Arabidopsis thaliana: one gene and its partners. The protein of the gene in region 1 interacts with the protein of each later gene in a pairwise test. Each region holds a gene or a part of one and is shown on either strand. Other genes may lie near its edges.

What was found.
Region 2: the proteins of CCS (region 1) and CNX2 interact in a two-hybrid assay, tested with the Arabidopsis thaliana proteins (one large-scale study listed by BioGRID).
Region 3: the proteins of CCS (region 1) and AT5G24680 interact in a two-hybrid assay, tested with the Arabidopsis thaliana proteins (one large-scale study listed by BioGRID).

Annotation. Positions count from the first base shown.
Region 1 is NC_003070.9:4,266,573-4,270,583, forward strand, and holds CCS (copper chaperone for SOD1), read right to left. Parts: upstream 2,411-4,011; 5' UTR 2,329-2,410; coding exon 2,092-2,328; intron 1,984-2,091; coding exon 1,957-1,983; exon of another isoform or gene 1,876-1,956; coding exon 1,803-1,875; exon of another isoform or gene 1,706-1,802; coding exon 1,571-1,705; intron 1,269-1,570; coding exon 1,045-1,268; intron 972-1,044; coding exon 705-971; 3' UTR 502-704; downstream 1-501. Other genes in the region: AT1G12530 (uncharacterized protein), read right to left, coding at 2,550-2,904, 3,001-3,116. UniProt on the Arabidopsis thaliana protein: Copper chaperone for the superoxide dismutases CSD1, CSD2 and CSD3. Binds copper ions and delivers them specifically to CSDs. Is required for assistance in CSDs disulfide bond formation and thereby activation of CSDs.
Region 2 is NC_003071.7:13,583,424-13,588,214, forward strand, and holds CNX2 (cofactor of nitrate reductase and xanthine dehydrogenase 2), read right to left. Parts: upstream 3,281-4,791; 5' UTR 3,062-3,280; coding exon 2,996-3,061; intron 2,785-2,995; coding exon 2,191-2,784; intron 2,094-2,190; coding exon 1,926-2,093; intron 1,831-1,925; coding exon 1,639-1,830; coding exon of another isoform or gene 1,606-1,638; exon of another isoform or gene 1,465-1,605; coding exon 1,396-1,464; intron 1,296-1,395; coding exon 1,212-1,295; 3' UTR 1,200-1,211; intron 1,031-1,199; 3' UTR 598-1,030; downstream 1-597. Other genes in the region: LCR76 (low-molecular-weight cysteine-rich 76), read left to right, coding at 7-70, 401-597; LCR75 (low-molecular-weight cysteine-rich 75), read left to right, coding at 4,286-4,358, 4,583-4,764. UniProt on the Arabidopsis thaliana protein: Catalyzes the cyclization of GTP to (8S)-3',8-cyclo-7,8-dihydroguanosine 5'-triphosphate.
Region 3 is NC_003076.8:8,451,580-8,456,079, reverse strand, and holds AT5G24680 (Peptidase C78, ubiquitin fold modifier-specific peptidase 1/ 2), read right to left. Parts: upstream 2,506-4,500; 5' UTR 2,415-2,505; coding exon 2,359-2,414; intron 2,249-2,358; coding exon 2,116-2,248; intron 2,020-2,115; coding exon 1,304-2,019; intron 1,201-1,303; coding exon 1,086-1,200; intron 1,011-1,085; coding exon 915-1,010; intron 806-914; coding exon 722-805; 3' UTR 562-721; downstream 1-561. Other genes in the region: AT5G24690 (plant/protein, putative (DUF3411)), read left to right, coding at 21-297.

The sequences.
Region 1 (4,011 bases):
TAATAAAAAAACCAGACAACAGAAATTACACCAAAATGTTTGAAGTTTGATGTTCTGTCTAACCATTACTATTTAGTTTAATACTACAAAGCAATCAATTTTTAATGTAAGAAAAAAACATAGTATATAATAATTCATCTCTGACAATGTGAGATTTTATTATTTGAGAGTAGTTTATAGCAGCACATAACATTTCACATGTTCTTGGAATTCAAAATTCTATATGATTTAAATACTTCTTACGTTTACCAGAATAAATTATGTAGGGCACAATATTGTAGGAACCATTTGTTTCCATGTGCGACCCAATTTTAGTGGGCCAAAAACAGTGAAACTAAAGCTAGTTGCTGATAGGGCCCGCGTGACAACGAAACATTATCTAAAACATTTGGTCTATACTATTACAAAAGCAAAATGGCTTCGCCCGGGTTCGAACCGGAGACCTTCAGTGTGTTAGACTGACGTGATAACCAACTACACCACGAAACCTGTTGAACATTGATTAGATACACACAATATATAGTATAGTGATCAAATTCTGATAGGGGCTCAACATTAGTTACGCAATTGAAAGTACAGAGAGTTTTGGTACAAAACAAAAAGCTTGTGTTGTTTCAATATAAACCTCAAGTTTTGATACAAAACAAGTTCTCAATCACTAAAAAACGTAACGTTTTATAAAATGTATGGTTGTTGACTTGTTATTAAACCTTACTGGCCACGAAATCGCTGTTTGTAGCTTCCCATATGACAGTACCATCACAAGAACAAAGTTTTTTGTAGTTTTCTCCAACCCCTGCGCTTCTAGCAATCACTGCGGCGGTCAATCCGGGGCCTGACTTATTATCATCGGTCTTGTACACCACGACGGCTCTCCCGATAAGGTCTGCAACCTTGAGTTTCTCTTTCTTTCCCGAATAAAAGGCCTCTCCGTTTTTGTCTGCCTCTAGTGTTCCCAGGTCTCCCAATGGCTGACAGAAGAAAAAGAGAGTTTTTAGAGGATTGTGATGACATTTTCGTTTTCTAAGAATGCGTTTCACCAACCTCTGTGCCAGTTTGATCTTGAAATGGATTGTACAAGCTCCCTGTGCTGGCTGCTCCGTTTGTGAGATCTCCATACTCGTTGATACACCAGCTGTGGGTTCCGGGTGACAAACCGGTAAAGTTGGCTTCGATTCTTGCAAGTTCCATACTGACCTGAGCAAATCGGACTACCCCGAAAATGTCAGGGCCTTTGAATTCTGCTACTGCAGCTGAGACTAAGAAATCTGCCAAAACACATCACAAAGTAAATATCATAAAACAAATGAGGAAAGAGGTCATCAATGAAAGACAAACCGTGGAATTGAAACGGTAAATCCTCAAATTCAATACTGTCAGTGTATTAAAGAGTAGCTCAAGAATGGAAAATTGCCAGTACGTAAATCTTCTTAATGTTGAACTAAACATAAACACAAGCCATGTACTCCTTACATGTTCTATGAGCTGAGAAAATATATCTTCTTTCTTTTGATGTTCAAATCTTTCTTCTCAAACAAAAACCAAAGTGACCCGAGAAGAGATATCTAACCTTGAGGAACACCTTGTCCAATTAAGCGAGCTTTTCGACCAGTTTGCTCCAAAGCTTGAGTCATAGCCTTAACAGGGGAAGATCCAAGTATCCTCACAACTTGATTGGACAAATCCACCTCCACTTTCTCAATACCTTACAAGATTAAAAATTTCCATTACACATAATAAGCACCAACAAAGTAAATCATAACCAAACAGACGACGATTAATAAAGTTGTTTCTCCTACTACCTTCAATGGTTTCTAATTTGTTCTTCACAGCATTAACACAACCCTCACATGTCATATCCACCATAAACTCAGTCTGGAACACACAACACAAGTTCTCACTAGCTCAAATCCAAAAATTGTTGTATAAAGATACAGGATTACGAGAAAGACTTACAAGAAGCTGAGGCATGGCTCGATCCTCCTGCAAATCAAATTCAGCTACTTAAATACTTAATCATCGAATCAGGAAAGCGAAAAAGCTCAAATTGGAAATAGGGTATTTCAAAAGTTCAAAGCTTTAAACCAAAACCTGATGGAGATTACGATCAGAAGTGAGAGCAGTCGCCATCGGAGAGCTAACGAAGCTTCGTGAAAGTCCCAAGAGACGTGGAGACGATCGGGAGAGGAAGGAGAAATTGAGAGATTGAGATTTGGGGTTGGTAGAGGAAGAAGAAGAAGAAGAAGAGAAGGCGATCGCGATGGGAATCGCAGAGGCGGCGGCTACGACGGCTGAAGTCGTTGCCACTGACCTGAGAATTGATGCCATTATCTTGCTTCTTCAGTTTTTGCGGCTTTTTATTTCTGACCTTTCAACAACCTTTAAATTTTATCATTTTTAATTAAAAAATAAATCGGTTAATCTGGGGATCACTATTACTTTGGTAAATTAATGTGCAGTAATTCTGTTGTTATTACAAACAGTTGGTGTTATTACCTTAAACGCAATAATATTTCAGAGGGAGTTTATTGATGATACAAAAAACAGTTTTAGCCAAAGCCAGGAGGGAGTTCAGGATCTTCTTCATCATCATTATATGCTTCTCCTTTGTTATCTTGTACATCATCACTACATGCCTCTCCTTTGTTATCTTCTACAGCTCCTTTAATCAGCTCTTGCTTCTGTTTACTCGCTGGACTGGTGTTGAAATCAGTTCTTGCTTCTTTTTTTGGTGTTGGAATCTTATGTTCCATTTCTCTAGCGGATGTTCCGCGTTTCTCGCCTCTCGGGTTAGATAATGTGGCGTAGACGGATTGAACGGTTTCTCTGATTTCATTCTTCATCCCGTCTTCTGATCTTATTATCCCCCATAAACCATCTGAGAGCTGGCTTAGCATCTTGCTCCTACAGGAAACAATCCAAAAAATTTAGTACGCTTGTGTCATAATCATTTACAACAACAGGAGTTAGCTGAATAGAAGAAAATCCCTCTTAATTTACCCGACTTCTTCGAATATCGCATCAGAGAGTTGCCTGGTTTTCATATTTTGAGCACCATGTCGTTTCAAAGATGTTGACTCCTTGACAACTGATATCATATTATTCCGTAAATCCTCCTGCAATCCAGTAACCGCTTTAATAGTCAGATCACAATGCAAACACAGGCAGTCCAGAAGAACAAAGCTCAAGATGTTTATCAAACACTGTTAAAAGAAAATTCCTTGTTGCCTTACATAAACTTCTCCGGCTAAGAAAGTAGTAACCTTCACTCTTATCTAAATATTCTACCAAGTTGCGCTAATGACAATGCCCATTCGATGGATAAGTATAAAGACTCCTCAAAGACAATGAACACTATACCAGCTATAAGTAAGATGTCAAACCAATTCACAGTAAGTGATACTGAAATTCTGAATCAGCTATAGTAGGCCTATAGCTGTGATCTAACAGCTTAACACCATTAAGAGAACTCTCTCCCCTAGGATCTGATTCATCTAAGAAAAACTAAAGGCATCTTGATAAACTCTCCGAATCATCAATGGTTTACTTACTTCCACGCCTCTAAAGCAACTTCAGATACACTTATCCCAAAATCAAAATCAAATGACCAAACTTTCCCTATCTTAAACAACTGGTATTGTTAGGAATCCCATATTAACACAAACCTTCCCTGAGACCAAGCTCAAACTTATCTTTGCACACAACTAACCATATCACTTGTTTCAACACTACAACAGTACACACGAAACGAAAAGATCAAATTTTTTGGAGTGAGTTCCGAGAAGCTACTGATGAAAGTACCTAAAACCATTTATGGAGGACTATTGGGCTCAGTCTATATGAACCAAAAGAGCAAACTTTATACAAATTCTCAATCGAAATCTCTATTACTCAAGTCAAACTAACAAAAGATTCCAATTTGATGATCTTTTGAAACAATCAAAATCGACTAATCATTATCACTGGTCCTAACAAAGCCACGAATGTACTGGGAATCGAGAGAATATGAAC
Region 2 (4,791 bases), on another chromosome or scaffold:
ATCAAAATGAAGAGCTCTATGCAGTTAATCTCTACACTCTTCTTCCTAGTCATACTTGTTGTCGCACCAGGTATACAAATCCTAAACAAATCTACTAAACTATACGTTATAAACTTATACTTTATTTCCCTTGTTTAGTTTAACATTTGTTTTTATGCATACACTATTTAGTTCAAACTATTATGATAATGAAAAAACAACACTACAACTTATCTCATACTTTGCCATAGAATATTGAAAATCACATATTTACATAAACACATATTAGGAGTTAGGAGCAATAAAAAGATATTGGTTGGTTATAAGTTATCAACAAACAAAAAGCTTTGGTCATTCTTGATTATATTTATGGTTATAAATTTGATTTCTTATTGAATAATAAAATGCCATGATCTTATAGGTATGAAGATGGTTGTTGAAGGACAACCACAATTGTGCGAAACGAAAAGCTTAAACTACAGGGGGTTGTGCTTGAAATGGAGGAGTTGCAAGCGAGTATGTATTAGCGAAGGTTTCCCTGATGGTCGATGCAAAGGATTCTTCAACAACAAATGTGTTTGCAGGAAGCCTTGTGCTCTTCTTTCTACCGAAAACTAGACATTATATTGTTATGAATAAGCCATTAATAAGATACCTATTTTTATGTAAGCTAATAAAACAGCAGAGTACAAGTCATGTATCTCAAAACTCTATTATACAATAAGCTTTGATCAATATCGCAAGTGAATTTGTTGTTGTTATCAAATTTAAGATTTTAAAATTCTTAACATAATAAAAGCTTATAGTTGATCTTTTTGGCCATAAATAAGAAAAGTAATTGGACTGAAAAGATTCGTGTGGAAATTCTGAGTTCCTGTACAGTGTCTGTTACGTATACAGAGAAGAAACAGTTTGAGAAACTCTTCAGTCTTCTTGTTCTTGTTTGCAAAAAAGTTTGTCACAGTCTCACAGAGTTGGGAGCAGCAGATAGATTCTTACAAGATATAAAACTCAAATGTTCCTTGTAGTGTTTTCCAGGAACTTCACCAACCTGTAAAGAGAAATATGACGCGATGAGTCACGTGAATCAAAACGCAGAGTTACACTAAACGGATCAATGCATCAAAGACTTTGTTACTGAGATCAAGTGTCAAAACCCTTGAATCGACACAAAGTATCCAATTTTTATGAGTTACATAACAATGGATTAAAGAACTTACGTTCACCGGAGCTTAGCCACCAATGTGTATCATTGGTCTATTAGCTGTTTTAGCAATGTCAAGCATTCCAGCGTGTGCAGCTTTCTTTCTCTTCACCTGAAACCCATTGTGAATTTTAAGTCAATACAGAAACGAAAAACAGAGGAAAGATTTCTTGACTGGTTCGTAAAATCAGATGAAGCAACTAAATACTTACAGCAGCGCCTATAATTTCCCTTAGCGCCTCATCATCAGCACCAGACCGGAGAGGATCTCTCAGACTAACCTGTTCACAAGAAATCATCGGGCGAAACAAAATGATCGTCACATTATTGAGAAGCAACCACGAATACTCATGTTTACCGGTACTCAAGTTATTGCACACTTGTACATGTTCGCAGCCACTTGAATCAACAGTTACTGACTTTTAGCCATGGAAAAATTTGGAAATGTACTTTACCTCTGAAGGACCAAACAAGCAAACTTTGAAGTTCCCATCTGCAAGAAGTCTCAATCTATTGCAGCCAGCACAGAAGTGTTCTGTCATGGATGTGATGAAAGAAACAGAACCGCAATGCCCATCGATCGTAAAGTTCTTAGCTGTTTCAGTTGGGTGATCTTGCATTCGTTTTATGCTCGGAAACCTCTTGACCTGTTACCATAACAACTGAAACCAATCATGAAAATGCTCAAGGAAAAGTTGAGTAATCTCAAAAAAGGCTAAACATTGAGAGAATTCTACCTTACCACTTTATCCATCACTTCTGCATAAGGTACAAGTTTCTTCACATTCCAAACATTTCCATCAAATGGCATAAACTCGATGAACCGGACATTGATTGGCTTGTCGCGTGTCAACTCAACAAAATCACAAATCTCATCATCATTCAATCCCCTCATGATAACACAATTGACCTGTCAAAACCAAGAACGATTTGCAAAAACTCTTGAACATCAAATATCGTTCTGCTACATTCAAACAGAAAACATGAAGAAGGATTAATAAACATACTTTCACAGGATTGTATCCAAGCTCAATAGCAGTATCAATCGATTTCATAACCCTATCATGCCCTTTACGTCTAGTCAGAAACTCAAACTTTGCTGGAACCAGAGTATCCAAGCTGATATTCAGCGAATCAAGTCCGCATTCCTTAAGCCTTGGTAGTTTTTTCGCAAGAGTGATACCGTTGGTAGTAATAGCCAAATTCTTCAACCCTTTTAAACTAGACAACTGCAGACAAATCTCTTCGATATCTTTCCTAACCGTAGGCTCGCCACCAGTCAACCGAATCTTGTTAACACCAGCAGAAACAAAAAGACCAGCCAACCTAACAATCTCAGACTGTGACAACAACTGAGGCTTAGGAGTAAGTTCCACACCTTCAGACGGCATACAATACTGACACCGGAGATTACACCGCTCAGTCAAAGATATCCTCAAGTAGGTATGTAAGCGACCAAATTTATCAATCAACATGTCAGAGACAGGATTGTCTTTTATCTGATCAACTTGATGAGCTGCATAACTACTGCTAAATAAACGCTCACTAGTAGTAGTAGTAATGGTTCTCGTTACTGAACCTGAACCAACTTCAGAACCAACCTGTTTAAGAATTCCAAATAAGCATTGATTCTCTAAATAAAAGAACACAAAATGAATTCATTCAGCTCTTAAATCCCTAACCTTTACACTATATAAGCAAATACTAGTAGCTACAGGAATAAATCAATTCGAAAAAGCAACCAACTTGAGTGGGAGAAATCGAAACCCATTGTAGCAGAGAAGTGAGAATTAGTAAAGTTGGGAAATTTACCAATAAGAAGTTGGAATTCTTGAAACCCAAGTGGCAATCAGTAATTTTGGAGAAGCACCTCCTCATCGTTAACAACACTGTAGAGAAGATCGAAAGAGAATTTCTGAGAAAGGAGGAGGAAGTCAGAAAATATAATCAAAAGTGAGAGAAGGAGGAAGAAAAGAGATGACCTTTGGTAAACGGAGAGAGTCTTTGTTCAAAATAAACGACTACGTTGAGAAAATGGAGACGGCACTCTCAAGTAGAGAGAGAGAGAGAGACTAGAGAGAGTTTGGCTAAAAGCCTAAACAAAAAAAAAAAAAACATGAAACTCTTTCGTCTTTTCTGATGATATCTGTCGGTCTCGCCGGTTACCGGTTATAGGCAATCAAACCGACCTCAATTGGTAAATTTACTGGTCCGAGTGAAATTCAGATTGCATCTGGATCGGATATGTCATTAGAATAATAATTTATTAACTGTGCTTACATCATTGTTTAATGTAATAAACTATTAAATTTTACAATCTGCGAATTATGTAACAACCAAACTCCAAACATTTGTACTAAATTTTTTATTTCTCTGTATATTGATATTATGTTAAAACTTTATAGATAACCAAATTTATGATTGATTGATTAAAACGATGGTTTCCTATCTAAGCAAGTTAGTGATAATGTAATCTAAAGTTAATTTTAGGCTGTGTGACTGGCTTTGATCAATTTTGTACGTAACTTTGTTTTATTGGATAAAGATATAAACTCAAAAGTCAAAACACACCAAAATCTAAACTACAAATATATCATTATAAAGGAATTTTTTTTGGAAGAACTTATGGAGGAATGGTTTTTTGCATATCTGTCTAGCTTCACATTAGTCTAAATTCATCTATGATATTACTACCACTTTGTAATTTTCTTAACACTCTATAGTCTATACGTTCATTGTATCAGTCCCCTCGGCCCACTTTAACTATGTTGATTCAATCTCTTCTCTTATGGTAGATTGTCTATTCATAGTGGTTAAAGAAAGAAAAAATCATTAGCATATATCTTTAACCAGTACAGTACAGTACTAGAGATATATATAAACAACAAAATATTCTCGTATGTGTATTTGCAGATATTTTTCGTCAAGATCAGATTCTTTTCCACATATTCCTATTGTTCTTCATTATCGTATGCATACGTTGATATACCAAAAAAGCTTTGTGCACATGTTTACTATAAATGCGACATTCTCACGCTAATTTTCAATATCAACAATTCTCCCCACGTATTCATATCGCTTAACTAGTTAGTAGGAAATAAAATGAAGAGCTCTACTACCTCTATGCAGTTAATTCCAACACTTTTCTTCTTAACCATTCTTCTTGCTTCACCAGGTATGCAAATCTAGTTTCTCACAAACTCACAATATTAAAAAGTTACTAAAACATATAATATACGCTTATATTTTAATATTTAATGCATGGGGTTTTACGCATCTACTTGAATAATTTAATATTTGATGATATTGAAGAATAAGTCAATTATTGATTGTTTATATGATTATAATTATATTATTATTCAATTATTTATTGAATAATGATAATGTATTATATTATAGATATAGAGATGGTTGAAGGACAACAAATGTGTGAAGCAAAGAGCTTGGACTGGAAGGGTATGTGTCTGAAATGGAGGAATTGTCGCCAAGTATGCATTAGCGAAGGTTTCACTGACGGTCGTTGCAAAGGATTCACCCGCAAATGCATTTGTAGCAAACCTTGTTTTGTCCTTCCTAATTAAGTTCTTGTTTCTCATTATTTTGATATT
Region 3 (4,500 bases), on another chromosome or scaffold:
GATGGATGTATGTGGTACAGGATTATGAATGTGCAATTAGGGGAAAAGTCAAGACAAGTATGGCTAGGTGTAGAGGCAGACCCACTGGCGCAGTCAGATGATCTGCTGGCAAAAGCATACAACCGACCCTCAGAGGAAGCAGTAGCAAAGCCATCTTCAAAATGGTTCATCTCAAAGAATGCAATTGTCTCAGGGCTACTCGGGAAGAAGCAAGAAGATTCAGTTTCAGATTCTCCACCTCCAAAGGCTCGGCGAAAAAGGATAGTGAGGAAGAAGGTGGCTGCATCTGCCTCTTAAATAACCAACAAAACCTCTAAAATGTCACAATTTTCAGAGTCCATGGAAGAACAACAGTGAGGTTTTGTTGTTCATTTGAGGCACACATGAAAAAGGTTTTGTTGCCAGAGGAAGGAAGAAGGGATCACCAAACTTGGAGGAATTGAAAAAAAGCTCTATAGCTTCTTTTTTTTTTTTTTTACTTTATGACTCGTTCTCTCTAGTTTTAAGTGCTTTTGGAAAGACATTTCTATTTTTAGGTGTGGTGATAAAGATGCTTATCTCTGGTTAAAATTCTGTATTTTCTCAATGTTTCTAATAAATAGCCACATCTTATACGTTCGTTGAAACTTGGAAAGTCATAGTAGTCTAACTCCTAGTCCTGAAAAATTGCAATTAATCTAAGAATCTTCAAGAACCATTCTTCAATTTTTGATGGAAGTCATTAGAATTCAACAAAGTGACTATCAATGGTTTTGAGCTTCTCCAACTCCTCTCCATCAGCAATTCCATTATCAACGTACAGCATCTGTATGTATATATCATCACAATATTCCCCAAATCACACTCAGACAAAATCACTTAGCTTTATGCAAAATAACAAAGAAATGATTGATATCAGAGTTCAAAGCTGAGACCTGATACTCGGGGCATTTCAGTGTGTGAGCTCCTCTTTTAAGATATCCCTCCCATCCTCTCTTCTCTATAAGCGCTATCTCTATAGCTCTAGTAAACTGCATTCACATTCAAGTCTCACAATCATTAATCACATTCAACTTTAGTAAAAGCTGATGTTCATGTATACTCACATCAGCCGGGTCCAAAATTAGGAGATTGTACTGAGGAGTAAATGTAGTTCCTTGCAACCGTCTCTGAACCCCAACAATTGTCCTCGAGTGCCCTTCATGTTGGAAATACAAGGGCCTGCAGTACACACGATAACATCAACTCAGGAACCTTAGACGTAATGTGTTTTGAAGTTACAAAAGACATTTCAGAGATCAAGAACTGAAACAAAACAACCTACCCTTTATTCGTAATATGAACACCGGATGAAACACTTAACCTGTTATCTGAGAAGTAATTCCAAACCCATTCCATTAAAACCGCTCCTTTGCTGATCCTAGAAGAATTAGAACTATGAGAGTCAACTGCTTTTCCCTTCCCACTTCCCCCCTTTTTAACCATATATCTGTCCATGGGACCATATGACTTTACCTTGGGTGCAATAGCAGAACCAGGAACTGAAAGATACATCGATTTAGACTTCTCGGGAGCAAAATCAACAATCCTCGCTTTCAACCCGAAAGAACGTAACAACGCAGCACATTCAGTAGTTCCAATCCATCTCTTGGAACCACATATTCGATTATCAAAATGAAGAGCTCCAGAAACATCAAACCCCTTGTTCCAAGCTAACTCAAGCCATCGCTGGAGCGAAGGAATATCAGGAACAAAATTAGAACCACCAAAGAGAACTCTCTTAGCTTCTTCTCTATGAGAAAGCAAATGAGAGCATTGCATTTGAATGTTCTTCCATCCACATCCCCAACCTTTATCCTCCTTCGAAGATTGAAAATGATCAACAAAGCCTGATAGTAAACTAGTACTACACTCTAAAGGTTTCGACTTCAATTTCAGTTCTGACTCCAGACAGTTCCTCAGCAAACAAATCAAACCACCATGACCTACACTATAGAATTGACTCTTAGTCTGTAACTGGACCAAGGAGGCAACGTTGTTCTGCAGAAATGAAACAATGTTTTATCAATTGGGTTTTCTTTTCTGAACCTAACACAGGAGTGGAAAGAAGATTTAAGGGTTTTAAGAAAGTATTACAGATGATGAAGCAGAGGAAGACGAAGAAGGATCATCAGAAGAATGATCATCAGAAGCGAGTTGCAGAGCCAAGTGGTGATCGGTTTCGATTTGTGGATTGATTTCATCGTCTTCGAAGTGGGAATTCACATGGCTGAGTCAAACCATCCACCATAACCAGACAAACACATCAAGACCTCGAGAGAATGCAACTAAGAAGCATATAGAAATAAGGGACACAAAGCTGAAATTAGGGATTGATACCTTTGGATTAGGGAGAGAGGAAGCGTGAGATTGCAGACAGGACACAAAGCTGACATCTTTATAACCCGGGACAAGAAAAAAGTCGCCTTTTTTTCACTCTTTCGTTTGTTTTCTCGCCGGAAGAAATCAGAAATTGACCTCCTCCGGTGATGATCAAAACGCCTGCGTTTAATTGGAGTGCTTGTGGTGCATTGATTATTTCTATTTTTTTTTGGAATTTTTAATTCTTAATGATTTTTATTTTATTTTTGTGTTAAAAGATAAATTTAAACGAGAGAAAGTAGAAAATAAAGAATCTTAATTGGCCAATAATTATGGTAAGTTTTAATGTGAGGAACTAATATTTCTCTTTTGGAAATATAAATCAGAGATGCATGTACACGTTTTACGACTCAACAAGTCACAACGTTGGTAACAAACCAATTTTTGAGAATCTCTTATAAATATCACATGTGTGTTTAGTAGGTCTCTATGTCTCAAAACACAAAATATCATAACAAACAAAAAAACAAGAATGGAGAATTCAAGCTTTGAAACACTTCCTTATGATCTACAAATGAAGATTCTGTTACCGATGCCTCTAAAAGTCTTGGCGAAATGGCTATGCGTCTCAAAGCAATGTGCATCATTTATTTGCTCCGTAGAATTCAGAGAAATTTACTTGAGTTGATCAATGAAAAAGCCTCGAGTGTTGTTCGTCACCAATGTTTTACCAATCTACCAAAACAAACCCGAAACGTTGTTTCATTCTGTTTGTCAAGAGGAGGAAGCATTGTTCTTGTCTTCCGGTCAACAAGAGATGTGTACCAACGAAACACCACTTTGAAATGTTTCTAAACCCATCCAAGGTTTGATTTGCCTTCAAGATACTGAGGTTGCGATTTAATTTGCAACCTGGCTACGCGAACGTTACGGAAATTACCGCAGATCGAAAGGTCTAACGGAGCATGCATGAAAAGTTTTTTCGGATACTACAAAGCTAAAAAAAGTAATCAAGTTGATATGTATAAGTTTAACTAATAATAACAAATATCATGTATGCACGGTCATGTAATCTAAGAAAGTAACCAAGGTGCGTACCAACGACGCACCACTTTGGAAAGTTTCATGTGTTCTTTAGTCGAAGGATTGATCAAGTAAATGTGCCTAAAATCGTCATGGATCTGAATCAAGACCAATCCATCACAAGATCCCAATACTTGAATGGTTTTATTTTGACATTTGTCGATTGGATCATCAGGAAAAGTGTAGTAACAAGAAGAAGAATGACAGTTTTTTCCGTTGTTATGGTCATCTCTAGAAAAAGTCTCCAAAAGAAAAGTTATTGAGTTGAATCTTCTTCAACAAAATTCGCTGAAAAGTGTTGACTAACATGAAGATATTTCATATTAGGGGTTGGTAAACCTGTACGAACGAGTCATTTGTGGGAAAAGTAGGTTGATTTGATCATTGATCTCCATTTTTTTACAAGACTTTGAATCTAGCTAGTGATTTTATTGGAAGATATTGAAATATCTCTTCAACTATATCCTCTGATATAATCATTGTCGTAGGATTATTTTTTATGCATTGAAAAAATTGTCTTAGAATTATTATGTTTGTCACCCTCCATTCTTTTCGTACGATGATAATTCTTAGTTTAGATTTTTATATCAATATATAAAGAAATTAATGATCTAATCTTGGAGTCTTAAATTTATATTTAACATTAATTGTGGCAAAAGAGAGATTTAACACTATTAATCTACTTTAGAATAATGAAAAGTAAATAAACAAATGTACAATATGATATAATCTTGGATTTTAAACTTTAGATCTAACATTAATTGTGGCAAAATAAAAATTAACACTAATAATTTAGTTTACAATTATGAATAAGAAATAATAAATGTCTATAGGCTATAAATAAGTGTATATATATACAATCTTACAATAATTTAAAATATTGAAATGCAAATCTTACAATATGAATATTGTAAAATGATTCTAACATTGATCTAATAACATATTGATAATTTAACTTTACTAGATTATTGTAATAAATTTTACAACAAATTTAAAATATCAAAATGCAAATTAGTGTATTAAGGCAAAAACAAATATACAAACAACCCTTTTTCTTAAATTTAGTACAATTTATAA